Linked DNA regions of Mus musculus. The protein of the gene in region 6 binds, or shares a complex with, the protein of the main gene of each other region. Links are inferred from orthologs where the notes say so. Each region holds a gene or a part of one and is shown on either strand. Other genes may lie near its edges. The genes, in order: Crnkl1, Gemin5, Snip1, Cwc15, Lsm6, Snrpg and Sart1.

What was found.
Region 1: Snrpg (region 6) and Crnkl1 share a complex: the UniProt entries of both Homo sapiens proteins name them as parts of the minor spliceosome. The link is inferred for Mus musculus from reciprocal best matches to the Homo sapiens genes SNRPG and CRNKL1.
Region 2: Snrpg (region 6) and Gemin5 share a complex: the UniProt entries of both Homo sapiens proteins name them as parts of the SMN-Sm complex. The link is inferred for Mus musculus from reciprocal best matches to the Homo sapiens genes SNRPG and GEMIN5.
Region 3: Snrpg (region 6) and Snip1 share a complex: the UniProt entries of both Homo sapiens proteins name them as parts of the minor spliceosome. The link is inferred for Mus musculus from reciprocal best matches to the Homo sapiens genes SNRPG and SNIP1.
Region 4: Snrpg (region 6) and Cwc15 share a complex: the UniProt entries of both Homo sapiens proteins name them as parts of the minor spliceosome. The link is inferred for Mus musculus from reciprocal best matches to the Homo sapiens genes SNRPG and CWC15.
Region 5: Snrpg (region 6) and Lsm6 share a complex: the UniProt entries of both Homo sapiens proteins name them as parts of the U4/U6-U5 tri-snRNP complex. The link is inferred for Mus musculus from reciprocal best matches to the Homo sapiens genes SNRPG and LSM6.
Region 7: Snrpg (region 6) and Sart1 share a complex: the UniProt entries of both Homo sapiens proteins name them as parts of the U4/U6-U5 tri-snRNP complex. The link is inferred for Mus musculus from reciprocal best matches to the Homo sapiens genes SNRPG and SART1.

Annotation. Positions count from the first base shown.
Region 1 is NC_000068.7:145,924,701-145,928,200, forward strand, and holds part of Crnkl1 (crooked neck-like protein 1), read right to left. Parts: coding exon 3,421-3,500; intron 2,247-3,420; coding exon 2,076-2,246; intron 1,000-2,075; coding exon 808-999; intron 75-807; coding exon 15-74; intron 1-14. UniProt on the Homo sapiens protein: Involved in pre-mRNA splicing process. As a component of the minor spliceosome, involved in the splicing of U12-type introns in pre-mRNAs.
Region 2 is NC_000077.6:58,144,540-58,148,039, reverse strand, and holds part of Gemin5 (gem-associated protein 5), read left to right. Parts: intron 1-31; coding exon 32-213; intron 214-1,507; coding exon 1,508-1,647; intron 1,648-2,519; coding exon 2,520-2,691; intron 2,692-3,500. UniProt on the Homo sapiens protein: The SMN complex catalyzes the assembly of small nuclear ribonucleoproteins (snRNPs), the building blocks of the spliceosome, and thereby plays an important role in the splicing of cellular pre-mRNAs.
Region 3 is NC_000070.6:125,065,251-125,069,471, reverse strand, and holds the start of Snip1 (smad nuclear-interacting protein 1), read right to left. Parts: upstream 2,801-4,221; 5' UTR 2,720-2,800; coding exon 2,520-2,719; intron 1,466-2,519; exon of another isoform or gene 1,383-1,465; coding exon 1,280-1,382; intron 1-1,279. Other genes in the region: Dnali1 (axonemal dynein light intermediate polypeptide 1), read left to right, coding at 3,874-3,954. UniProt on the Homo sapiens protein: Required for pre-mRNA splicing as component of the spliceosome. As a component of the minor spliceosome, involved in the splicing of U12-type introns in pre-mRNAs. Down-regulates NF-kappa-B signaling by competing with RELA for CREBBP/EP300 binding.
Region 4 is NC_000075.6:14,507,119-14,510,618, forward strand, and holds part of Cwc15 (spliceosome-associated protein CWC15 homolog), read left to right. Parts: intron 1-732; coding exon 733-851; intron 852-3,081; coding exon 3,082-3,211; 3' UTR 3,212-3,500. UniProt on the Homo sapiens protein: Involved in pre-mRNA splicing as component of the spliceosome. Component of the PRP19-CDC5L complex that forms an integral part of the spliceosome and is required for activating pre-mRNA splicing.
Region 5 is NC_000074.6:78,818,353-78,822,500, forward strand, and holds the start of Lsm6 (U6 snRNA-associated Sm-like protein LSm6), read right to left. Parts: upstream 2,801-4,148; 5' UTR 2,696-2,800; intron 1,734-2,695; 5' UTR 1,635-1,733; intron 1-1,634. UniProt on the Homo sapiens protein: Plays a role in pre-mRNA splicing as component of the U4/U6-U5 tri-snRNP complex that is involved in spliceosome assembly, and as component of the precatalytic spliceosome (spliceosome B complex).
Region 6 is NC_000072.6:86,370,268-86,374,339, forward strand, and holds the start of Snrpg (small nuclear ribonucleoprotein G), read left to right. Parts: upstream 1-1,272; 5' UTR 1,273-1,315; coding exon 1,316-1,347; intron 1,348-4,072. UniProt on the Homo sapiens protein: Plays a role in pre-mRNA splicing as a core component of the spliceosomal U1, U2, U4 and U5 small nuclear ribonucleoproteins (snRNPs), the building blocks of the spliceosome.
Region 7 is NC_000085.6:5,378,704-5,382,203, forward strand, and holds part of Sart1 (U4/U6.U5 tri-snRNP-associated protein 1), read right to left. Parts: coding exon 3,483-3,500; intron 3,369-3,482; coding exon 3,258-3,368; intron 3,051-3,257; coding exon 2,963-3,050; intron 2,598-2,962; coding exon 2,507-2,597; intron 2,414-2,506; coding exon 2,278-2,413; intron 1,825-2,277; coding exon 1,735-1,824; intron 1,639-1,734; coding exon 1,517-1,638; intron 1,433-1,516; coding exon 1,414-1,432; 3' UTR 1-1,413. UniProt on the Homo sapiens protein: Plays a role in mRNA splicing as a component of the U4/U6-U5 tri-snRNP, one of the building blocks of the spliceosome. May also bind to DNA.

The DNA.
Region 1 (3,500 bases), on a different chromosome or scaffold from region 6:
CCCAGCAAGTGTACCTTTTTGTGAGGAATTAGTTCCAAAGACGCTTGATATACCTGTCTTGTTCTCTCGGGATCCTGCATTAAGATGATAAATAAATAAATAAAGTTAATGCTTATTTCATCAATTAATTTCATGCCTGTAGTGAAAACAGACCTCCATTTCTCAAGGTGATATTTTTAAATATTGATCTCATTTATGATAAAAAATAGCACCTACTTTTGATCATCAAACTTTTTTCTAAGAGTAACAATGTGGCTATCAAAGTTTGAATGCACAATGTAGAGAGGCCTTAGCCTGCCAGCAGATAGTCTCAGATGAACAGAAGACAGTCTTTACCCATTACCTACTTCTGGAAATGCCACTTGATTTTTACCAATCTGGCCATGATCTTTATTTGTGATCAAAGACATTATTAGGTACTATATGTAATTAAACTGCTTCACTGGTCCACTGTTTTAAATGCTAGCTACCTTACTGTACCTCAACGTTTTAAGATAAAACACCATCAAGTCTTTTTTTTTTTTTTGATTTTTCAAGACAGGGTTTGTCTGTGTAGCCCTGGCTGTCCTTGAACTCAAAGATCCGCCTGCCTCTGCCTCCTGAGTGCTGGAATTAAAGGCGTGTGCCACCACGCCCGGCTACCACCAAGTCTTAACAGGCATAGTTTGAATGATTTAAATCGATGGATTAAAAAAAAAATTAAAACTGTCTCAAAGATTGTAGCTATCAGTTACTATGCAGAGCAGGGCAAAGCCATGATACTGGGTAAGGAAGGTACTCACGGCTGCCCCACATTCACCTTCTCACCTTGGCTTCCAGCTCTTCATAGAGTGCATAGTTAACCCAAAGGTAGATGTAGCGCTTCCAGTGTCTCTTCTCCTGGATGGGTGGCACATTGGCAATGGCTCTCTCATAGACTTCCCGCACAGTGTCAGCTTCCGCATCACTTTCCACCAAGCGTAAATAATCAAACCATGCATCATAATTGTGTGGATTAGCCTAGAAAAACCCCCAGCTTAATCAATAAAAACAGAACCAAGAGCCAGACTTCACAGGCTGTCAGAACTGTAAGGAAACATCAAACTTGCTATATTTTAGCACTTTTTCCCTTAAGATTTTTACCTGCTATCTCTATTTAAAACATCATCCCTAAGATTGTACAAAAGGAACATAAAAGGTTGCTGGCTAGGGACCTTGAAGCAGAGACTCTTTCCTCTGCTGTCATCATGTAACAGAACTGCTTGATAATGACATTCCATTGTTTCTAAGACAGGGTCTCACTCCATATCCTAGGCTAGCCTTGAACTCATAATTATCTTGCCTTGGCCTCCCCAGACCTGGGACTACATAGGCTTGAGCTACTTACTGTATATAGCTTTGAATTTGTATACATGTATTTTTACACATATGGCTGTATACCATTATGATAATGAAATTATAATGGGTATATATCAGACTCTAAATCAGGGAACCCACCTTTCAAATAACAGTAATTTTTTTTCTGAACACATTTTACTGACCTACCACTTTACTTAACACCAGACTTAGTCCTTTGATAGAAGTTATCTCAATCTGACTAAGCAAAAGATATACAGAACAGTGAGAGAAAATCCTGCTACCTTTGACTGAAGTCAAAAGGATATATTACAGAGATAAGAACAGAACTGCCTATTGCAGGTCTCTTGCTCATGCCAAGCAGGTGTTTGGAACCATCTCTGACCCTCCCATCCTTTTCCAAAAATGAGCTCAAATATATGCCGTATTTCTTTTCATGCATGGACTTGATATGAAACCTAGGCTGGCCTCAAACTAACAACTTTTCTGCCTCTATCTCCCAAGTGCTAGGATCCACATTTCTTCAGTTTGCTATCAGTTAAAGGTCTTTGCACCTGGGAATGGCATAGTAAATCCAAGTATGGCTTGCTCTTCTTCCTACCAGCCACATTTACTCTAGTTTGTCTGAAACAGCTGTCAAGTCGGCTAAGGCGTCATCAAGAGAGTAATCAGTAGCCCCACTTGCTGGTATGTGCGCAGGCCAGAGAGCTCTAACATGAACCTTCTACAGCAGTGCCCACCTTCACTTCTTCTTCATACTGGAACCTCCGTTTGCTCACGATGATGTCTTCTATACCCCTCCGGTCACCAAACTTCTTCTCAAAGATGGTATAGTTTTTAAAGAGTTCTTGGGCCTCTTGTTTTGAAATCCTATCCAGGGCATATTTGTAGATAACTCGTACCCTTTCAAACTAAAAGAAGGTAGGAAGATTATCATCTAAAACATAATCTCATTTTACTCACACCTTGAGAATAACTGAAACTTATTACTTACAAATTAAATTTTGAGGCCCTCGATCAGAAAAGATTCATATTTAATAAAATAGTTCTATATTTAATAGTTCTACATTAACATTTCCCTATTTAGTACTGTCATAAACCTTCTCCATCCTGGGTCCTCTCCCAGGCTGGTAGGCAACATCTCCACGGCATGCCTGCTCACGCCCAAAGCCCCATGAGTCTGCTTTGGTTCCTCTCGTGCTCTCCTCTCCTTCCATGACTCTTTGAACAAGTGTCAATCTATTTTTATCTCTTCACTATTGCCCTTTTCTCCTCTACCCTGCTGCTGACCCACCTTCTTTTCTAAATCTCATTGGATTCCCTGGTTTTACCACCTGCCTCCTTGGTAGGTAGTGCTGATGATCAAACCCAGAACTTGACTTGTGTTCCCAAGTGCTCTCCTACTGAGCTACATCCTCAGCCTTCCCCTGGCTTCACTCTTGCTATGCCCCTACCCTTCTCCAAAGTACTTTCATGAACTAGCCAGAAGCTCACTAAAATATTGTCCAGTCACAGTCCCACTTAAAACCTTCTAATCTGTGCCTCCTAGAGACAAGCTGACCCCTCCAATTCTGACGCCTTCTTTTCTGTGTACACCATGGAAGAAAAGAACTGGCTTATTTGTGGGACAATCTGTTTCCATTCTACATTATCTCCTTTGCTTGGTTGCATTGGTTCTTTGCCTCCCAAGCTCACTTATCTATAAGACCCTTGAATCAGGATACCAAATGACTCTTCATCAGGTTATACATGTACTTCTGTGTTTCCGAGAAAGGTCTATGTACTGTGCTGCCTTCAGAGTCATGCTTCTACTGCCTCAGCCTGAGTCAGTCCTCAATTTTGTGAGAGTTGGGGTTGGAGACATGTGCCAAGACACCTAACTCCAGGTATTCATCTTTAAAGACGTAATTTTCACACAGAGCAGAATGAAATTAAGACAGTTACTGTAATGATCACTCAGCTCCAATGTAGAGCTCAGCAATACATGCATTCAGTTCCGTATTAAATTATGGTTTTTCTCTAGAAAACATTTTCTCTATGGATAAGCAAATAAAATGAAACAGAGATGAACTCATTGTGACTTACTTCTTTCTGGTTTTCCTCAAATTTAGCAAAGGCCACATAGAGGTGTTCGTCCATATGCTCATCCCCAAAAAACTCCACCG
Region 2 (3,500 bases), on a different chromosome or scaffold from region 6:
ATCGTTCTCGTCCTGCTGTGTCTCGTTCCAGATCAATAGAAATATTCCAAGTCCCCAACTTGAGGCTGCTGTGCACCATCCAGCAGCACCACAAGCTTGTGAACGCCATAGTCTGGCACCATGAGCATGGCAGCCGTCCAGAGCTGAGCTGTCTCCTTGCTTCTGGCTCCAACAATGCAGTCATCTACGTGCACAACCTGAAAGCAGTCCTAGGTAACACTGACTTCTGGGCTGGGATGATGCAGGAGTTTTGAGCCGGGCTCATGTTGCCCAGGCTGGCCTCCTGTAGCCTTGAGCACTATCCTCCTGCCTGTGCCTTCTGAGTGCTGGCTTGCATCTTGTACTTCATGTCCAACTATAATCTGCAGTCCTGTGCCCAGGGAAAGAACCTTTAAATGTAGGTATAGAGACTTCACAGATCAGTTGGGTTTTCTTGTTCTTTGTTGTTATTAAATTTTATTTATTTAATTTATGTATATGAGTGCTCTGCTGTATGTATACCTGCATGCTAGAAGAAAGCATCAATCCCTTTATAGATGGTCATAAGCTGTCCTGAGGGTGCTGGAAATTGAACTCAGGACCTCAGGAAGAGCAGCCTTTACTCCTAACCACTGTACCATCTCTCCAGTTCCCTCACCCCGTTCCCTTTTTTAAGATGAGGTAATCTGTCACCATATCAGCAGAGCAGACCATATTACCAAGAAATGTCAGATTTTTTCAGGTAAAGGAATTGGTGGTAACTGGAAACAAGAACAGTTGTTTGGTTGTTTTATCTAGTATTTTCTCACGAGTGGCTCCAGATAATCTCTTACTATCTAAAGTCCTGTGTGAATGTAATTATGTACAGGACAGGTTGCTTTAGAGTCGGTGCCTTTGTGTAGCACATTTCCTATGGTGGCCTGCATGTCAGATGTCAGTGAGCTGCATTCATCTTTAACAGTTGTTTAATTTTGAGCTTATAATGCAGTTATGTCATTTCCTCCTCCTTCCCTCTCCAAACCCTTCTGTGTACAGACCTTGCTCTCTTTCAAATCTTGGGCTCTTTTTTTTTTAATCATTGTTGCACACACATATTCCTAAATGTGTAAGTGTTACCTGCCCAGTCTGTATAGTGTTGCTTTTACGTTTATGTGTTCAGGGCTGATGACTTGATGTTGGATTACCAGTTGATGTGTTCTTTCCTGGGGAAGGCTGTGTCTCCCTCTCAGTATTTCTAAGTTGCATGTAGTTCTTTGTCTGTGTAGGCATCATGAGCCTTCTCCCTTCTACATTAGTGGTGTCGTCTTTGTTCAGGTCATGGTTGGGCAGCCATATTGATGAGACCTCATGGTCTTTTAAAGGAGACACAATCTGGCAGCAAATTCCCTGATCCTGTGGCTCTTATAATCTAGTGAGTTGAGAATTCTTGGTCATTGAGAAAGACTAAAGCCTTGCCTCCTGTCATGTTCTATCTTCCTATGCACCCTTCCTGTGACTGTTGTTGTGACTTCTCCCCCTTTCCCTTCAGAAAGCAATCCTGAGTCTCCAATAACCATCACAGAGCCCTACCGCACCCTCTCGGGGCACACAGCCAAGATTACCAGTCTGGCATGGAGCCCACATCATGACGGAAGGCTGGTATCTGCTTGCTACGATGGCACAGCTCAGGTACTGTGTGTCCTTGATTCAGGATCCTTCACTGTGTAGTCTGATTTAATGTCCTCTTCCCTGTTTGGGATTCTTTTCATTCCCCTTCTGTTGTCTGTAGAAAGGAGGAGCCAGAAGACCTTGTAGTTCCGTCATACATTTGGCCTTACAGTCAGTGTGCTGCCTTCTGATTACTCTCTGTAGACACTGTAGCCCAAAAGTCTCTTTCAGCCAAACCAACATGAAGATGTCAGTTAACTATAGGCACTTTTTTTGTTTGGGCCTTTGCTTCAGGGTCTTGCTGTGTAAGGTAGGCTGTGCTAAGACTCTTGGTATTTTGTATTGGTTTGGTTTTTTAAAATTACATTTATTTTATAGGTATGTACATGCATGAGGGGGGGTGTGGAGATGAAGACAAAGACGGAGACAGAGATAGAAACAGTACGAGTCTGTGTGCATGCTGGAGGTGGGGAGGGGCCAGGAAAACTTGTAGGTGTTGGTGTTCTCCTCTCATCATGTAGGTCCAGGGGATTGAACGCAAGTCATCGGACTTTTGCAGCAAGTGTCTTTTCCACTGAACTGTCTCATGATCCTATGCTCAAAGCTTTAAGCCTCTTGCTTCAACTATCCATGCTGGGGTTGTAGGTGTGGGCCACGGCGCCAGCTCCCCAGGACAAATACTAACACAATTCTGGTTTGAGATAATGTGGTCCACAGAGCAGCAGTGGATCATTTCCATAGGAATGCCTCTCACACATGCTCCTCCCCTGGGAGCTGGTGTTGTCACATGAATGCCTTAGCCCATCTTGAGTGTATTTGTAACTGAGCAAATAATGACACAGAACAATAGAATAACCAGCAATTGTCCATTCTGTCCACTGCTGTGGTTTTAGGTGTGGGATGCCCTCCGGGAAGAACCTTTGTTCAATTTCCGAGGACATCGAGGCCGGCTGCTATGTGTCGCGTGGTCCCCAGTGGATCCAGAATGCATCTACTCAGGTGCAGATGACTTCTGTGTCTACAGGTGGCTGACTTCCATGCAGGACCATTCCCGGCCTCCTCAAGGTTGGTTTAGAAGAAGTTGGAGAGCCTACACACTGTTGTTTCTGATTTTCTTTTCCTCTGCTTTAGTAATTGTTCTGAACCCACCTAGCATCTGTAGGATGGGTCAGTAACCTACAGGGCCAAGGATAGCACTGCCAAATTGTAACAAGTATGGCTGAACTCTTACCAGGGTTGTCAGGCAACCCTGGGAAATGAAAGAACCTACAACATCTTATGCCAGAAAGAAAAGATGTACTCAGAGAACTGAGTCACATCAAAGTATGGGGATCAACTTAAAAGGGACCTTGCTAAACAAACAGACAGTTGAATTGAGGGGGGAGCAGCAAGATGTCTGACAATGGATGGGGGTTACTCAGGATTCTAAAGGAACAAAACTGATAGAATGAAACACACAGACAGGATTTATTAGAGTGTTTTACAAGCTGTGGTCTGGATAGTCTGATAACAGTTGACTCCTGATGGAAAGGCCAAAGATGTAGTAGCTATTCAGTGCACAAGACTGCTCAGCAGTTGCAATCTAGTGCTAGAGTCTGGGAAGACTCCCAGAAAGCTGCTGGTCTTCAGTCTGTGTTGGATCCTAAAGAAGTAGGTTCTGATGCTGACGAGAGTGAGGACAAGTGGTCAAAAGCAAAGGTTTTCCATGGCCTTTTATATAGGCCCGGAGGTGTGGCCCAGGTGTGGATGGTTCTTCTGATTTCAGATCCAATCCAGAAAATCTCTCACAAAGCTCAGCATAGTGCCATGTGCCTTTAATCTCAGCACCTGGGAGGCAGAAGCAAGAGGATCTTTCCTCTTCAAGGCCAGCCTGC
Region 3 (4,221 bases), on a different chromosome or scaffold from region 6:
CCACAACACCTGCCTCTTTCGAGATGTTACTAAGGAATCTAGAAGGTAACTCTACAGTTAGAGCACTTTCTGTTCTTCCAGAGGAGCTGGGTCAGTTGCTAGAACCCATGAGGTGGCTTGCAGCCAGCCTTAACTCAAGTTCTGGAGACTCTGGTACTCTTTTCTGGACCCTGTGGGCACCAGACATACACAGTGCATACACATACATGCAGGGGCGGGGAAAGCACTCATACACATGCAAAAAAATACTATTTTTAAAAGATTTTTATCACACACACACACACTCTCGAACATTTACATAGAGATGGAGACGAAAGAACCAGAACAGCTAAAAGGAAAAAAAGAAAAAGAGGAGGGTGGTGTGGAGAGATGGCGCAACAGACAAGAGCATTGGCTACTTTTTCCAGAGGACCTGGGTTCAATTCCTAGCACCCACATGGCAGCTCATATGCAGCAAAGAGGACATTCAGTTTGAGACTTACTATGCAAGTGCAGTAATCGAGTCTGCATGGATAGACATATACCTGACTGAGTTTCAATGTGGGAGTAAAATAATTCAATGGAGACAACCAATGTCCTTTGAAAAACTGGTCCTAGCCGGGCGTGGTGGCACACGCCTTTAATCCCAGCACTCGGGAGCAGAGGCAGGCGGATTTCTGAGTTCGAGACCAGCCTGGTCTACAAAGTAAGTTCCAGGACAGCCAGGGCTACACAGAGAAACCCTGTCTCAAAAAAAAAAAAAAAAAAAAGAAAGAAAAAGAAAAACTGGTCCTACAGCACATGGGCACTCACAGACCCAACGTGACCCATCTGTGCTGGTTTCAACAGCACCAAGGACAATCTTCTAACCTAAAGACCCTGGGCTTAAGTGTGCATCCAGAACAATAGAAAGAGAGAAGCGGCCAGCCAGGAGGTAAGGAAGGATAAAGGCGGAGAAGTATCAGACATCATGAGGCACCTTGATGGTGGTGAAACGTCTGTGTCCTGACCACGACACTGTCCAGCTGTGCGAGAAGTTGCCATTGAGAGAAACATGGATATGTACATCTCTCCGTATTATTTCTGACAAGAGTTATCAGAATCAAATCAACAATTGTCTCCAAACGTTAAAATTTCAGGAAAAACAGCCCCAAATACATATCCCATTTTTAGAAAAGCCCACTGCAGTGACAAGGAAGCATGTCCACACCTGGCTGCCAACCTCTTGGGGTTCAGCAACAGCTCTGGGCTGGAGCTTTCCACCCATGGTCCCTGCCCACTCACTCACTCACTCACTCACCTGCTTCACTTTGACCATGGGGTAGTGGGGACTCTGGCTTCTCTTGGTCCGTGGTGACTTGCTTCTTCTCCCAGAGGACTTGCTTTTCTTCTTGGCTGGGGACCTTTACAGAGAATGGTACACAGGATTTTTTACCTCAAAGTTCCTTCCCGAAAGTAAGTTAGCTTCCAGGATCAGGCTCACCTACTAAACACAACACATCTGTGAGATCAGTAGCCACAGCAGGCCTTCACTTCCCATAAACACTTCTCCCAACCACATACACAATGGCCTGCTAAGCCTTCTCACCTAGACAACCTTATTCTCCAACCCCAACGCCTCAGAAACCTTTCTTCTCCGGATGCGCCATCCTACTATCTGGCACTACTATCCAGGAAGCCAATCTAGCCTGGTTTTTTCCCTAACACAACTCCCTTCTCCAACAACCAAAACCAATCCCTTGGCAGGTCTCAGGGCCCTGCCCTGTCCTCCATCCCACATCCTTCCTACCAGCCTACAATGCTGCTCCATCTCTCAATTCCAGATATGCTGGCTGTTTTGTTTTTGTTTTTGTTGCTGCTGTTGTTCAACTTCTAAAACAAACAGAATTCCAGCTCAGGTTCTATGTATATATTTTTCTGTCATAATCGTGCACGCGCCGTGTTTGTGTGTATACACTCAGAAACCTCCTGTCTCAGCATCCCCTCTGCTGGGTTACAAGCATGCCCGACCACAGTGGGTTGGTCCTTCCTGGAGTCTTTGCTAAAAGACTCTTGACTCAAGAGAATGGATCAATCCTACCAGCCAGGTCTCCGTTAAGGAGCACCTCTGTACAAGCCCTCTCTTTTTTCTACCCAGCCTCTCGCTACCACACTGCCGTTTTGATCTGTCTTTAATACTGACTGAAATTATCTATTTGTTGTTTTCCTTCTTCGAGTTAGAGCCTGCCCAACTTCGCCAAGGAAAAAGCATCTCTCTTCTTTGCCTTGTGACCCAGTACCTCCAATTGATCTTTAACCCACACTACGCACTCAATAAATCGATGCCACATGGAGGCATTGGCGAATGAGTGCTGCGAAGAAGTCGCCAAGACCCAACGTGTCTTTGTAGGCAGACGAGGGGAGAAGCCACTCGCACCATCCACTCGCGGGCAGGCGGGGGAAATCTCATTTCAACTCAACAGGTGCTCTGCACTCCAGAGCCGCTCGCACCACCGGCCCCCGCGCCATCCCGTCCTCCGCCCAATCACCGGCTCGCTTACCGGGCTCGGCTCCCGCGGTGACCCGAGTGGCCAGGCTCGGCGGCGGGCGGGGACAGGCTAGCGGCTGGAGCGTCGGGCCGGCGGTGCGCGACGGGTTCGGGGCTCAGACGCTCCTGTTTCACCACCACGGTCGTCAGAGCGTCGCCTGACCGGTGTCGCCGCCGGCCGCTCCGCTCCCGCTCGCTTTTCCCCGCCTTCATCCTGCGGCCCGACCGAGAGTCACTTGCACGGTCCGTTGAGCCACTTGAGCCGTAGGAAGTGACGGACAGCTTTGCACTTCCGCTTCCGGGCAGCGCGCTATCCCAGAAGCCTTCACGGTGTCGGCCCCCCTGATGGGCGGGGCCCCAGGTGTTTGAGTCTCAGACGCTGGGGACGCCGGCGCGAGTGGCCACGGGGTCCCCGCTGCTGGGAGGTGTGGCTGGAGTACTGAAAAGGCAGGGCCAACCCCCCGGGAGGCTGAAGCAGGAGGATCGCAGTAATTTCGAGGCCAACCTGGGCAATTTAGTGAAACTGTCTCAAAATCTGAAAAAGTTGTAGCTCGGATAGATCGCAAAGCTCTGAATTCATCCTCAGCACCGCCAAATAGAAATCAAGAGTTAAAAGGGGAGGGAAGGCTGAGATTGTAGCTTAGTTACCGAGCGAGCGTTTGCCTCGCGAGTACGAAGCCCTGGATTAGTCCCCAGAACCTCAAAAAAATATATATGACAATCTCCCCCCCCCCCCGTCATAGTCAGGTTTTCAGTGTACCCTGGCTGTTCTAGAAGTCACTCTATAACCAGGCTGACCTTGAACTCTGCCTCCCTCTGACTCCCAAATGCTGTCATTAAGGTGTGTGGTACCATCGCCCAGCTTTTTTTTTTTTTTTTTTTTTTTTTTTTTGAAAAAAGAAAAAAACCTGTGGGAAAGCTAACCCAGCTCTGTTCCTTGCGCGTTATTAGTAGTTACGAAACACAGACACTCAACAATGTGAAACTCTTTTTTGTTTCTTGAAATAGTGTCTCTATATAGCCTTGGCTGTCCTGGAATCCACAAAGATCTGCCAGCCTCTGGCTTCCAAATGCCAATCGTCGCCAAATACTCTATAGAGTCACTAGATGACTTCCGTTTTAATCAAAGGTGGTCTGTCCATTTCATCATAAACCGAAACAGACCTAACGCTAGGGGTCCAGTCTTCTTTACTAAGAAACTTAGTGCTTGCGGAGAAAGCACAGTAGAACAAAACTTGCACGCGGCCGGCACCGCCTTCCTCAGAGGCCCCGCCCCATCCATGGGGCAAGGAGAGGAGGGGTTTCCATGGTGATCGCAAACAAGACTCCACAGGGGCCGCTACGGAGTTGTTACCCCTACTGCCACCATGATACCCCCAGCAGACTCTCTGCTCAAATATGACACCCCGGTGTTGGTGAGCCGGAATACAGAGAAACGGAGCCCCACGGTATGAACAGGCGTCTCAGGGGACGCGAGATCCTACAAACTCCCATGGGGAAAAGACATCCCAGCTTTGAGGATCTCTGGAATTTCAGGGGACAGATTGCTGGGGCTGACAGCCAAGGGAATTGGGACAGGGATGGAGGTTGGGAGAAGAGAACAAGAAGCCTAGCTATGACCTTAGAGGACAAATTTAAGATGAGAAAAGTCACATGGAAAAGATGGGGTTTGTGGTAGTCAAGTCCAAGAAGAGGTCTGGTAGTGACTTACCTTC
Region 4 (3,500 bases), on a different chromosome or scaffold from region 6:
GGTACCCATATGCATGCATGCACACACGCTAAATATATACAGAAATACTTTTTAAAAATATAGACAGTATTGTAACAGTGAAGAAAGTATATAAGAAAGGTATAGATCGCTAACAATAAAGCATAAGAACAAACGATATTTTATATAAATTAATTGAAGTACATATTATTAGAATGTGACCATCTTTTACATGACAGTTTGTCTTGTCTTAGGAATTACTCCCTAGTTAATAACTAATTCATCCTAGAGATGGAAACTTAACATGGTTTGTAACTCAAAATTGAATTATGTTGTCTGTAGCCCCTTAAAAAGTGAGACAACAACCTTGCTAGCATCTCAGCTTCTCACAGTTTAGAGAGGCCAATGACTATTGGCAAGGATGGGATAAAAATGGCAACGTGCTTAAGTTTTATTAGTAAGATTTTCCTGGCATTTACTAAGAATCAAAAAGAGGAGTGGGTCAGTGGTAAAGTGCTTTGTAGCAGGCCTTGCACCACCCCATCCCTATCACTGCAAATGGGGGCCTGCACACCTACCATGCACTCAGAAGGTCAAGGTCATCCTCTGCTACCTAGCGAGTCCCGTGCCAGCTTGGGTTGCTGGAGACCCTGTCATTAAACAGAAAAAAAGGAAAAGTATCTTTTCTCCCTGTACCAGATGAGTTCATTGTGGGCTAATATTGGTCAGCTGACCTGGAGAGAGTAACTTTGTGTCTTCCTCTGTCATTGACAGGAACAAGAACAAAAAGCAGAGGAAGAGAGAATTCGCATGGAAAACATTCTGAGTGGAAACCCTCTCCTAAACCTCACTGGCCCGTCCCAGCCTCAGGCCAACTTCAAGGTTAAAAGAAGGTACGAAAAGTCATGGGTTGGTGTACGTGTGTGACCATGGTTAGTGTTCCGTGTGTTCTATAAAGTTTCTAGGATCCCACTTTCTGTTGATAACCTTCCCAATCAGATTTTAGAATACGGAAGATGAAAAGAGGTGGGAGACTTCATTTTAATGCATACTTATAATAGCCAAGTCTCTGCTTAGTGATTGTCTAAATAAGAGAGCCAGAGTGACTGTAGCTACCAAGCTTTACGTGAGATGTTAGTGTTGGGGTCCCCAAGACCACCCCTCACAATTCAATTCTAGAAGGACTTAGGGGACTTGGTATGGTGGTATTCATGTTTGATATTATAAGATACACACAGATCATACAGTTGTAAGTCTTCATGGATATACATCCAAGTCACAAGGTGGAGAGATATAGGCTTCCTTAAAATCCTGTTCCTTGTAAGAGGTCACCAAACAGTGAAACTAAAGTTGAGACTCAGGAGTCTCAAGGGAGTGGTCCTGTAGGAACCTGTGCACTATAGGCACAGTGATGGTGAGAGAAGGTGCGGGTTTCCAGTGCTAACTAACCAAAGCTACGCTTAGAGTCGGGGCCCAAGAGGGAACTCTCATGTACAGTGTGCAGAGGGGGACAATAAAGAGCTGAAGAGGGACACCGATGTCGGATGAGGATGCCTCACAGGAGCAGGGGTAGTGTGTGTGAGGGTGTGAGGAGCTCCACTGCCTCATCTCTGCATACACGGCAATGAAGAAGCACTGCCCTGCCACTCTCCTGCTCACTCACTCAGTACCTACCCTTCATGAACAAAGCTCCGTCTTCAGCCTCTTTTCTCATCCCAGAACCATTGGCTTCTTTACTCAATCACAGGAAAAGTACAGCCCTTGTAGTGACCTATGCAGCTAAACTTTAACCCACATTCTTGAAGACAATAGTACAGTCAAGGAGATGGTTGCTGACAACTAGCAATTTATCATAGCTCAGTCTCTATTCATTTGACCTGAGCAGTTGCGAGGCAGGAATGAGGATGAGTATGGCTTATGCTGAATGTGAAAGAGGAAGCAGGTTTGAGGCATTGTAGGTTTGGAGTGTTCTGTACATCTCTTAAGTAAATCTAGCCTGTGTGTCTCTGCAGTTTGTCTAAGCTAGAAATTAAATAATGCATCTGGGAGTTGCCAGCGTGGGCAGAGAGAAGTCAAAAGATTGTATCAGCACTAGAGAAGTGCCCAGTATAAGTGCATAGTAAATGCATAATACATAGTATTTGAATTTAAAATCTTATGCTAAGACTTAGCAGCCAGAGAAGAGGACAGCCAAGAGAGTCACAGAGTATTGGGAGAGGAGAGAGATGATGGTCTAGGGATGGTGATGTAAGTGCAGAAAGGGAGGACTGTATCTTAGCATTGCAGAGGGGCAGGGCAGTTTGGGTGTTGGGAGCAAGCGAGGAAGTGAAGAGAAGCTATCAATTACATGTTGCATATGAGACAAAACATTTGTATCCCTGTCACACTGAGCAGGTCAGCTTTTAGTGTGTGTACTGCATCAAGACAAATTTACTGACATAGTTTCCATAAGTGTGCATAGCTTTGCTCATTTCCCTTGTGCAGTTTCTCCTGGTGGTCATGCACCAGCACATGCAAGCATGTTACATGGGCTGTGTTTAATGCATGTTTTTGAGTGTCTTTATTATATGTAAGGGCTTATGTTTATGTAGAAGGTCATAGCTCTGGTCTACGTATTTCCCGTAACACCTGCTGATGAGTGTGTTTAATGTTTTCTGAAATATAACTGAGCTCTACTCTGAACACTTCAGCAGCCATGGGTCTATAAATCTTTCTTGTTACATTCCTGTAGTTCGTCCTTGCATTATGAAGTGTGCCATGGTAGATATAACTGATGAGAATGTATGAAACTGTACAAAGCACAGTAAACAGGTCACTTACTGTCTGAAGGTGTCTGGATCAGGACAAGTGGCCCTGCCTCTGTGTTTTAAATCTGAAAATACCACACTTTTACCTAAGCACAATCTATGTGTGTCTTCTTTGTAACTGACTTGCTCCTAGTGGAGAAGTGGTGTCTGCTCTGAGTGGGGATGCCCTCCTGCTGTGACAGCCCCACACAGTAGGCATGCTGCTGCTTTTGCTGTCTGGTGACAGCATGTTGAGCATCTGTGATGGTTTATAGTCTGTTGTGTTCTTGTCTCCTGATGAACTATAACAGATTTGTTGTTTGTTTTTCCTCTTTAGATGGGATGATGATGTCGTTTTTAAGAACTGTGCAAAAGGTATAGATGACCAGAAGAAAGACAAACGATTTGTAAATGATACACTGCGATCTGAATTTCACAAGAAGTTCATGGAGAAATATATTAAGTAATATAGTTTTATGTGCTTAATTAAAAACTAAACTGTTAAGGATCAATTTGACTTTTTTTTTTGGTTTCTGTTCTTTCCCAGTGTTAACTTTCTCAGTCTCTTTCCCTTAGTGTAGTACTTTATTAGATAATGGGTTTAGAAATGGATCTAACCAGGCCTTAGTTTCTTTTTAATATGGGAAACGGGGAATCTGCTTGTAATAAATATTTTTAACCTAAATAAACCACTGTCCCCAACTTTTTGCTACAATTTATACAGCTTATAAAAAGTTGCATAATTTCTTTTCAAAA
Region 5 (4,148 bases), on a different chromosome or scaffold from region 6:
ATGCAGTGTGTGTATCAAACTGTATTCACCCAGTGATATATATTAGCCATGTTAGACTCAGTCTCCAAAGAGACTTTAAAAATTCAAGAGGACAAGAAAAATCTCACTTCTCTAGTAGTCTTGGCACCTGAACAGACTGTGTGTGGAAGAGGCATTCAAAGATGGTATCAGAAAGTCCAATCCCTCCCTTACCCGTCTACAACCATAGCTACTAAACAGGCATGGCTACTAAAGCATCATGCACGCACTTCAACAGCTACGAGCCTGCAATTCTTTTCTAACAACCATTAAATACTAAAAGAAAGGAAAACAGAAATGCTTGGTGGTCAGAGCCAAGCCTAGGAAGAAGCCTGGTCACATACAGATTTCTGACACTTACTCAGTGTTTGCTTCTTACTGCATGTTTTTCTCGTTTGTCTTATGTAGTGGGGCGGGGCAGAAGCAGCTGCTCCAGCGTGCATATGATGTCAGAGGTCACCCTTGCGAGGTGTCCAGGTTTGGCCATGAGTGCCCTGACAATTGGGTTACTTAGGCTAACTCCTAAAAGCAAGCTGCTCTCAACCAGAGGTGACTTTTGTGCCTCACCCTGGGGACATTTGAAAATGTCTACAGTCTGTACTGTCACTACAGGAGAGTGGTAACTAGGATCTAGTTTACAGAGGTCAGGGATGTCCCTCAAGACTCTACAGTGTACAGCAGTGGTTCTCAACCTCCCTAATGTGTGAGCCCTTAACACAGTTCCTCATGGTATAGTGAGCCCAACCATAAGGTTAATTTTATTGCTACTGTTATGATTTGTAATGTAAATCTCTGATATGCACATGCAATTCCCGAGGAAGGGTCGCCAGACACCCCCAAAGGGGCTGTGACCTTGGGGTGGGAACTGCTGGCTCAGAGGACAGCACTCTACAACGAAGGACTGAGTGGTGGGAGTGGTTCAACACGTCAGCTGACAGAAATGCTGCCAGGGAGCCCTAGCCACCACCTCGTTCCCTCTCTCTCGGTTTTCTGGCTTAAACACCACGGGATTTTAGGAAAGGCGAGCCTTGGCGTGAGAACCAGATGCTGAGTAGGCAAGCCCCTCTGTGTCTGTGGGTTTAAAGTGTTTACGGATCCAGCCAACCTTGCCTCACCTGGTAAAATGAAGCTGTAATTACTTGTCCAGCGGTCTCTCTGCTACCCAGACACAGACTTTCCCCTTGCTGTACTCCCTAAGCAATACTCTACTGCAACCAGTGACATTAAATGGCACGTTGTGAGTAATCTAGAGATGATGTGAAGGGCACAGGAAGACTGCACAGTTTATATGTAAACACAGAGGAAACCTGAACGTCCATGCACTTTTCGGTACTGGGAGGGATAACAGTAGCACTTATCAGAAGTATCTGATCCCAACACGGGGAAGCTGGAAGCAATCGTCAAAGTCTTGAAAGGGTTGACCTTCAAAAAAATAAATAAATTTCTAGTGCTGAACACAAAAATGTAACTTTTCTATTTTCCAGTCCCTCAATCCAAAAGTAGAAAATAAGCCAGGGAGTTAAAAACAAAACAAAACTTTCTTTAAAGAAGTTCTATTATCTAGTAGGCCACCCTTCAGTGAGAGAAGAGCTGCTGCAGTCGTTAGGGGTACTCACTTGGGAGGCAGGAAACCTGAGTTCTAATCTCTGCTACTTAATTATCTGTGCAGCTTGCGTAACTCATCACCATTTCACCTGTCACGGCCCCAGGCTCATCTGCAAAATAAGGAAGTTAGGCTAGATGGGTACTGGCTGTCTCTTCCTGTTCCAGCATCTGATTAACATGTGCAGTCAGTCAGTCAGTCTGTCTCTCTGTCTGTCTCTGTCTGTCTGTCTGTCTGTCTGTCTCTCTATCTCTCTCTCTCTCTCTCTCTCTCTCTCTCTCTCTCTCTCACACACACACACACAGTCACAGCCTGCAAGTTCAAACTCCCAATAGTAATTCCAAAGTGAGGCTGTGCTTTGCTACTTTAGAACCACAGTAGGCCCTTTCACGGTTTTGAAGAGCCAAATAAATTACTAACACTTTAAGAAAAACCAGTCTCGCAATGTGCAAGAACCATCTATGCTAGTAATTGAAAATTTGAGGAATAGAAGTTAAGGCATCACGATATCGTTCGGGATGCGAAAATGAAGCAAAAAACTCACACCCAAAGACGTCAGCCTGGGAAACAGCTGAATAATTTATGAGATCCACACAATAAAACAGGGGGCCCAAACGAGATCAATGAATTTTAAAATCACAACTTGTCTCATTTTAATGTAAGTATAAAACTAAATACTGGTGTGTGGTTAAAAAACTTGGTGGTCTTAGCTGAAACAGAAACAGGCCCACACAAGAGAAAGGGAGTTGGTGTGCCGAGGCCGTCAGCAAGGACCATTTCCTCCGCTCGTCTGTATTTACTTTCCGTCGCGCAGGGCTCGCGGGTGGAGGAGGGCGCCGAAGTCGCGCGCCACCGTAACCCTGGGCGCTCACCCCAATCGGCGCGAAGCGCGCGCGCCACGGGAGCGCGCCCGGCACCGCGAGCCCGCGTGGCCCAGACCAGCGAGCATCTCCTGGGACGCAGGCCCGGCTCGAGCCGCTCCCCGCCAGCCCGGACCATCCGCGGCCTACGCCAGCCGCTCCCACCCGGAGTGCCTGCCCGCACCCATTCATTCCTCCCAGGCCGCGGGCTCACCTTGCAGCCGGATCCAGAACGCTCACAGGCCGGGCTTCCGCGGACGCGCGCGCCGAAAACCGAAACCGCCCCCGGCAGCGGCTTTCCCATCTCACCCAATCAGCGTCCTCCTTGCCTATGGCGACCCGCGGGGATCAAAAACAGTCAGAACGCGTTAGTGAGCTGGCTTCCAAGACCGGGTTTGTTTAATGGTACCGTCGGCACCCAGCCAGGGCTTGAAGTAAAGGTCCGATATTCTGATATTCTCTCTTTTGCCAGAAAATAGAATACGAAAGCAAAACAACCAACCAAGAGCTAGAAGTGATCTTGTGTGTGTGTGTTTACAGTAAAGAACCTTAAAATATTAAGAAACGGAAACTTACAGTTAAAACGATGGCTGTTGAGCACCCCGAAATAGCCTTAAATAATTTAAAACAAATACAAGTTAAAAGCCTCAAACCCTCAAACTAACTTCTGCATATAAATTAAATGTATGAAGAGATTGTTTCCATGGGAATGCTGAAACAAAAAAATAATTCAAGCAACTCTGAATTATAACGGCATCAATTAGAAAACGTTACAAATTAGTTTAATTGGAAACTGCATGCAGATACTATTTAAGTAGTGTATGGGAACTTGGTTAGGGATACTTCATGAATTCTTAATGCATGCTTTTTATTTATGGAAGAAAAAAAGTCACAGGAAGACAATTTCTTCTACCCCCACGATCTCTTTATATTTTAACTTATATTTTATATTTATATTTTAAATTTTAATTCTGTTTCTGTTGTTTAACATTCAACAAAGTTATAATACCTTCAAACAACAGCTACATAACCCTGATAAGTGTTACAGGATCTAAGATGCAGAATTGTTTTCTGAAACACAAAGTGGATTCCTCCTTTTCTACGTGCCTTTGATTGATATCCTGGACAGTGATCTACCTGCCTTTGGTTGATACCCCAGACAGTGAACAACTGGGTGGAATTTGGAAAAGAACAGGAACATCCTTCTGTCTGTCTGTAAAATTCCAGTTGATGTCAAGACCAAATAATTACAGACATTGATCAAACAGCATTTTAGGCTCTTGAAATATAAAATTAGGAACACAGGTAAAGTCACATTTAAATCAAAGAAGGAGCACGCTATGCCTTGTCCCTAAAATAAAAACTGCTTTATAGGTCAAATTGGGGGCTGAGGATTTAGCACAGTGGTAGCATATCTAGTGTGCATGAACATCTCTGGCACCACAGCGGTAGTGGCATAGTGGCGCTCACACCTGTAATCCTAGCACCCAGGCATGCGTGCAGGAAAATCAGAAATTCAAGATCATCCTCAGCTACAGAATGAGTTTGAGACCAGCCTGGGCTATTTGAGACCTTGTCTAAAAAAAGAAAAAAGAAAGAAAAATCAAATTGTGCTACATACTACATTTCTTACTGACTGTAATTATGATATGCGTATTATATAGAGA
Region 6 (4,072 bases):
CCATCCTAATGAGATCTGGCGCCCTCTTCTGGAGTGTCTGAAGACAGCTACAGTGTACTTACATATTATAACTAAATTGTAAAAGGTGCATACTGTAATTTCAGTACTGTAAGGCAAGCTGAGGATTTCCCTCCTGCTTTGAGGTCAGTCTTTGCTAAAGACTATCATTATTCATGTTCGTTTTCTAGTTTCAACTAGCACAGCAAGTGGTGGGGAGAGTGTATAGCTAAGCATTCTTGTGCTATTTTTTTGTTGATGACAAACTAATCATGAGGAGAACCTCAATTGAAGAGCTGCTTCCATCTAACAGGTCTCTGGACATGTCTGTGGGTCATTAATGACTACCATGAGAGAGCCCAGTGCACTGAGGGCAGTGCCACCACCCTGGGAGAGTGCACACCTTTATTCCCAGCCCTCAGGAGGCAGGGGCAAGCTCAATACCTCAGGACTTGTGTGGTACTCCTCAGCTTTTATGTATGGACTGTAGTGTGCTAAGTGGGTTCTGAAGGCAGCGTTAGAATTGCAGAATTGATGAATCAGAAATACCCCAGACACTGGATTCACGTCCTCAAGAGAATCCGCCTAGCCACCTTCCTGCTACTGATGCGGACAAGCTATTCTGTGCTTCAGGAGCCCTCGGCTTCGCCTGGATGTGCTTAGGAAATTAAGGGCAGCGTGGTGCAGATGCCGTTGATTCTAGCACGGGAAGCAACAGTTCAAAGCCAGCGTTGACTACACAGTGAACTCGAAGCCAGCATGAATTACGTCAAAAACAATGAGGAAGGGGCAGGGGAAATGACAAAAATGTAAAGAGAAAAAAAGTGTAGTAAGTGGGAAAAGGAAAGAAAAGAAGTGACACACAGGCTGGAGAGACGCTTCAGCAGTTAAAACCACTGGCTGTTCTCCCAGAGCTCTGGAGTTCAATTCCAGCACCCACATGGTGGCTCACAAGCATCTATAGTAGGATCTGAGGTCCTCCCCTGGCGCGCAGGTGTACATGTAGAGCACTCATACATAAAATATAAATGAAGGGGTCTGTTTTTAAAGTGACCTGCCACTTCAATTTTACACAAAGGAAGCTTAGCCGAACACAGCCTCTCCGTCGTGGCCTGTCACTGGCGACGCAACCGGAAGCGTGGCTCTGGTCCGCAGGTTCAGACATCCCCATCAATATCGCGAGATGAAAGGTAATGTTCTCCGAAGGCGATTGGCTCGCGCGGCGGTGACGTCAGACACCAGCGCCAAGCCTGCCTTGCGCGCGTTTCTGAGCCTGCTCACTCCTTCGCCGTTGTGCCGAGCCCGCAGAGGAGTCGCCATGAGCAAAGCCCACCCTCCCGAGCTGAAGAAGTGAGTAGAGTCGGCCCTATCGAGACTTCTGTCTCGCTCGGGCTGCCGCCGCTGGTCCCGACGGTCGCGGGAGCCGGAAGTGGCGCTAAGGTCCGGTCGGCATGGTTACTGCAGTGCCGGTGCCTCTGTCTTCCCAAAGCTGGGGCTCTCCTAGGCGGGCAGCCAAAGGCAACCTGGTTGGGGACCAGGGCAGCGGTCGAGGTGCATGGTTGTGAGGAACCGGAGACTCGTGGGCTTAAAATGATCGATTGGAGTCGGACGTGATTGGCTGTGATCTATGGGGCCAATATTCAGGAAGCTTAGGCAGGAGAATTACCGCGAGTTCCAGACCAGCCTAGGCTTAAAAAAAAAAAAGACACTGTGTCTCAAAAAGTTTAAGGTGAGGTAGCGTTTTGTGTTTCAATAAATGTGCGCGTTCATTTGCGTTCATCAAGAGAGCTAGGTTTAGTTTTGGGGTTTTTTTTTCCCCTTTTTGGTGCTCAGAGACATGTTTAGTTATATGTTTGTGCACGTGGGTGCAGCTCCTGCGGAGGCCAAAGCGGGCATTGGATCTGCAGAAACAGAACTTGTAGGAGGTTGTGAGCCCTCTGGCGTGGTTAATAATAGCTGGACTCGTGTCCTCTGGACAAGCAATAAGCGCTGGGCCATCTGCAGCCCCAAGAACTAGGTTTCTGATACACTGTCCTTGTATTCAAGTTACATTTAAACGTTGTGTAATATCTTGCTCTGGCAATAAATCCATGGAAGGACATCCATTTTCTACTTGTAAAGAGCTAATTTCTGAAGAATTTTATTCTGTACCCAGTAAAATCAGACAGACCCTTTGGTCTCAGACACTTCTGACTGGCCTGAACCTGTCGCATATGCACATAGTCATTGGGTTGCTCAATACAAGATTAATACTGGGTCTTTTCTGGTGTAGCCAGAAAATAATCTGTCTTGTGTATAGCCTGTTTGCTACTGTAAAGTTCTGTCAAGACCCCAATGCAGGGGAAAGATAACAACATTTGCTGATTTTTGTATTTGAGTGCACATTTTAATCAAAGCCCTCTGTGTGAAACCCCTGCAGTTTTGTTTGAATCTGAATCTGTTAAACCGGGCCTAGAGAGTTGGCTCAGAGGTTGAGAGCACTGACTTCTCTTCCTAGAGGTCCTGAGTTCAATTCCCAGCAACCACATGGTGACTCACAACCATCTGTAATAGGATCTGGTACCCTATTCTGGCTTGCAGGCCTATAGGCAGAACACAACATAATAAAGATGTATTAAGCCATAAGTCTGACATTTTAAAAAGAAGTTATTCTGCACTGTTTGTTTTGATGATGAGCTAATAAATGAGGTCTGGATTTAGCAGGAATTGGCAAAATGGCATTGGTTTTGAACAAAAGCACTGTTCCCTACCTGTAATCTTCAGTGTCCTCTGATTCTTAACAGATATACTTGGGCCTTTCAGAGACTGGAACTAGTGATTGTGTCCATATTTTTATTGGCGTGTTTGGAGCAGAGCCTGTGTGAGCTACTTTGTCACTGAACTTCTCTTCTCTGAGTTGATGCCTTTTTCTCATCCCTACATTTTATCAAATTTGAAATACTTTTAGATCCGCCTCCTTATTTTCTCATAAACACCTCCTTTTACAGCTATTCACTCCTAGTTTAGCATAACTCCATAGTTCTTAATCATTTCTGGTCCCGTGTCTCAGTAGTTTCAAAGTTGAGCTCCTCCCAACTCCTAAAATGTGTTGCCACAGAAAGTCTTAACCACTGATGAATTCTGCTATACTAGTTTATATCACCACAAAGTCAAGTCCAGACTTCCTAACCCAGCTTTGAAGCCCCACCCCATCTGCAGTCCAGCAGCCATATTTTGCATGGTATATGACTAAAAACAATTTTCTGCACATTAGTGTCTCAGTTACTGACCTCTTGCTGTATAGAGGCATCGTGACCAAGACAACTCTTATAATAAAGAAAGCATTTGATGGGGACTTGCGTACAGTTTTAGAGGCCATGATCATCATGGAAGAACAGGCAGGCAGTAGTTGAGAGCGTTACATGCTGAACCGCAGCAGCAGGCAGGGCAGAGAGACACTAGGCTGGCTTTTGAAACCTCAAAGCCCACTCACTCCCAGTGCCACCTCCTCCAACAAGGCCACACCTCCTAATCCTCCCAAACACTTAATCAGCTGCGAACTAAACATGCACATAAGTGACTCCATGGAGGCCATTCTCATTCAACCTCCACACTGAATGTCAGTTCTCCATCTGTATAACATGGTAATAATAGTACCGGAATCGTAAGTGTTAAATATGTTCCTCTGTTGATTTACAAAATAACTCCTAGTAATTTATAAATGTTATTTATAAATCTATTTCCACCTTCAGATTCTTATGGCTTAAATTTATATTTAAATTCTATCATGGTCTATACATTAAAACTCAGTGAAGCAGCCGAGCAGTGGTGGTGCACGCCTTTAGTCCCAGCACTTGGGAGGCAGAGTCAGGTGGATTTCTGAGTTTGAGGCCAGCCTGGTCTACAGAGTGAGTTCCAGGACAGCCAGGGCTATACAGAGAAATCCTGTCTCAAAAAAAAAACCAAAACAAACAAAACAAAACAAAAAACAATTCAATGAAGCTCAGCCTGGTGGCATAGGCATGTAATGTCTGCTACTTGAGAAGCTGAGGCAAAGAACTACAAAACCAGGGTAGCTAAGAAACACTGTCTTAAA
Region 7 (3,500 bases), on a different chromosome or scaffold from region 6:
ATACAAACCTAAGTCGCTAACCTTCTCCACCCGCTGACAGCGAACCTGGGTTCCTGTCTGCCCTTGGCATCAAGTCTCCTGCTACTTGGTAGCCCCTAGGCCCTGCTCTCCCTAAGGTGTGGCAGCAACAGCACCAACCCAATTTCCTGAAAATAAGTGTGAGCTTTTAGTTAGGTGGTGGTGGCACACACCTCTAATACCAGCACCCAAGAGGCAGAAGCAGGTGGATCCTTGAGTTCAAGGCCAGACTGTTCTACAGAGTTCCATGACAGCCAGGGCTACACAGAGAAACCCTGTCTCAAAAAAGGAAACAAAAAAAGTGACCTCTGACCAATGGCCATAGCCAGTAGACACCATAATCAAGCACCTGAGACTTAGAGAAATGGACACTCCTGCACAACCATCACTAGCCAAGATCCACAGGCACAGCCGAGAACACCAACTGACCTCACCTCTTTTATGGTCAGTGTCTCAGGAACTGCTACCTAGTATCACTTATAAACAACTGGGTTTCCTGTCTCTTGCTTTTTTCTAGTTATTTGATACACTCACCAGAGACCCACATGGGGCTAGCTTCAGTAACTGACACAGGGCACTCATCTTCTGATTCAAAGTAGCCACCTGTGGGGCAGGGTCCTCCCACAGCCTGTGGCTCAGCAGGGCTTCTTCCACAGCGCCTTCCTAGAAAGCCCATCTTTCCAGGCACAGTTGCAGGCACCTAGCAGGGTGGCTCAGTCCTCGTATATAAGTGCACTCGAGGTAACCCCTACCCCAGTCCTGGGATGACCCTCATGCCTCCACAAATGCCACAGTAACACAGGGGACAGGAGGTAACATCTCTACCCTTCCAGAGAGCCTAGGCAATCCTTACTTAGTACCCTGAAAACTGTAACCAGGACAACACAGGGTGGTTAGTGGCTCTCTAAGGCCTAGCAACACGCATGTGACCAGTCTGAAAACAGCAATGATTTGGGATCAAGAAGCCAATTTGACCGCAGTGTGACAGGTACACGCCACTGGGTGGAGGGCTTCTGTTACAATGGAGTCAGCTCACAGAGGAATGTCCTCTGAGGGACCAGGCTGGTTTCTCACCTCCTCTGTTCATTAAATGGCCAGTCTTACAGGCAGAGATCAGACTTTAAATCACACAGGTTCAAGGATCAGGCCCATCCGCTCCTGGATAACCAGAGAGTGAACGAAAGAGCTCACCGGCGCCTCACGCATGAAGCAGGTGTTCTGACCACTCGGAAGGCAACACAGAAGGGCGAGGAGGCTCAGCGACTTGCCAGATGGCAGAACTGACCGTGACAGAGGCCTTGCCTAGGTCTAACCTTAGACAGCAGCACAACCAAGAGGAAAAATAAGGAGGGAACTTTATTTAACACTACATCTGGGCCAGGGAGGAGGGCGGCTTCATTTGGTGATGGTGTTCCTGCAGGGAGAAGAGGGTGGGCGATGAGGCTGTGAGACTGGAAAGGGGATGCAGTGCCTCCCCACCCCTCCGGCTCCTACTCACGCATTCATGCTCTTGCCACTGCCACTGAGCACGATATACGGTGTCTTCTGGGCCTTCTGCTTCTCCTGGAGCAGTGCCACGGTGCCCAGGGGCGTGTCACTGGAGCTCATTTTCTTCAGGAGCTGTGGGGCCACAGGAGGTCAGAACAGGGGGAGCAGGCCCAGCATATCACACATCACCCAAAAATGCAGAGCCCCCACCTCCCTCCCAAGACCCACCGCCTCCTCATCCAGCTTCTTCATCCGCCGCTCAGTCTTCATCTTGCCTGAGCCCTTTCCGTGGAAGCGGTGGGACAGCTGCCGGAATGCCTGGGATACAGAGCAGGAGCAGAGGCATCAGAAAGGCCAGGCAGCCGGGATGTGGGCGCACGCCTTTAATCCCAGCACTCGGGAGGCAGAGGCGGGTGGATTTCTGAGTTCGAGGCCAGCCTGGTCTACAGAGTGAGTTCCAGGACAGCCAGGGCTATACAGAGAAACCCTGTCTCGAAAAACCAAAAAAGAATCCAGGGTCCAGGGTGAGCCTGCCTCTGGGAGCTGGAGTTAATGCCAGCAAACATGGAACCAGCATACAGAGATGGGAAGCAGCAGGGGATGCTGGTAGGCATACTCAGGGCACAGGGCTTCAGCTGTGGCAGTCAGCACAGGTGTAACCTTCCTGACAGCCAGCCTGTGGGAACTTCAGTACTACGCCCAAAGTCAGCAACGGAGGCAGAATTCACCTCGTCACCTGTGGTCTGACCATCTCCACAAGACCCTGCTCACCTCCTTGGGAGTCAGTTTCCTGCCCGTCTCATCCACGTATTCAATCTTAACATCAGGCTTGTAGCCATCTTTCTCCTTGAAGTCCTGGGTGAAGCCCCTGTACTCCTCCCGTCGGCTGTACTTGTCATCAATGGCCCTAGACCAAGGCAGAGGGGCTCAGGGTGAGCTGCCTGCTGCCTACCCCATGTTCACAGCTGCTCCTATTTCATGTCGCCACGGCCACACTTACATCTTATCCTCGATGCAGTACACTGCTGAGGGCAGTGACTTATTGGGAGCCTTCACCCGGGCCACCTTTTGTACTGTGGTCTCCAGCAGTCCTAGGGACAGAGAAGTTTTGACACCCAGCTTCATACAGGTCCCTCAGAGCCCTGCTCAGGAGTTAAACATGCCGCATCTTTACGGACATCAAAGATCAGCACTTCCCTAAGGAGGCAGCACAGCTGGGATCTGGCCCCAGTGTATCCGGTTTAGCCCACTTCTGAGGCACGGAAGAGAAGCAGACCTCTCACCCCGCAGCAGGAGAGGCAGTGAGAGGCTCCGCGTCTAGGGAGCTGCTTGAAGCCCCGAGACTGAGGGGAAGAGGAGTGGAAACCCAGGACACCATACAGTACTCACAGGCAACCATCCAGCCCGTCCCGGCTATAGTACCCACACTGCCAAGGCTCCCACCCTGAGCCCACACCTTTGTTCTGACACAGGAGCAGGGCAGCAGCCAGCCCTCTGTTCACGATGGGCTCCTCATCCAGGATGGTGGTAGAGGAAGCAGAGAACTAGAGGTGAGAAAAGAGAAGTGTGAGCAGGCTGCCCCATCTCTTCTATCCAGCGGTCATCCTCACCAGGCACTAGGCTGTGGGACCAGTTTTAACTGACCCCCAGCTGGCTCTGGAAGGGTTAGTGCCCCTTCTATGGATGGGTGGAGGCTTTCAGGCACTGGACAACTAGCCTGGGTCCCCACACCCACGCCCACCGGTGCTCACATCCTGATGCTGCTTCTCCTCATCCAGGTTGACGGTGCTCCAGCCAATGTTCTCTTCCCCATCTGATTCAGAGCCACCGTTGGCCGAGCGCTCCTCATCCCTTTCAAAGTCCTAGGACCACAAGTCAGTGTCAGGGTGGGCAGCCTCAACCCTACCTGCTACATTCAAGCACTAGAAGCAGAAGTCAGCAGCCTAAGGACAACAGCCAGGGAACTGCTGACGTACCATGAGCTCTTCCTGCTC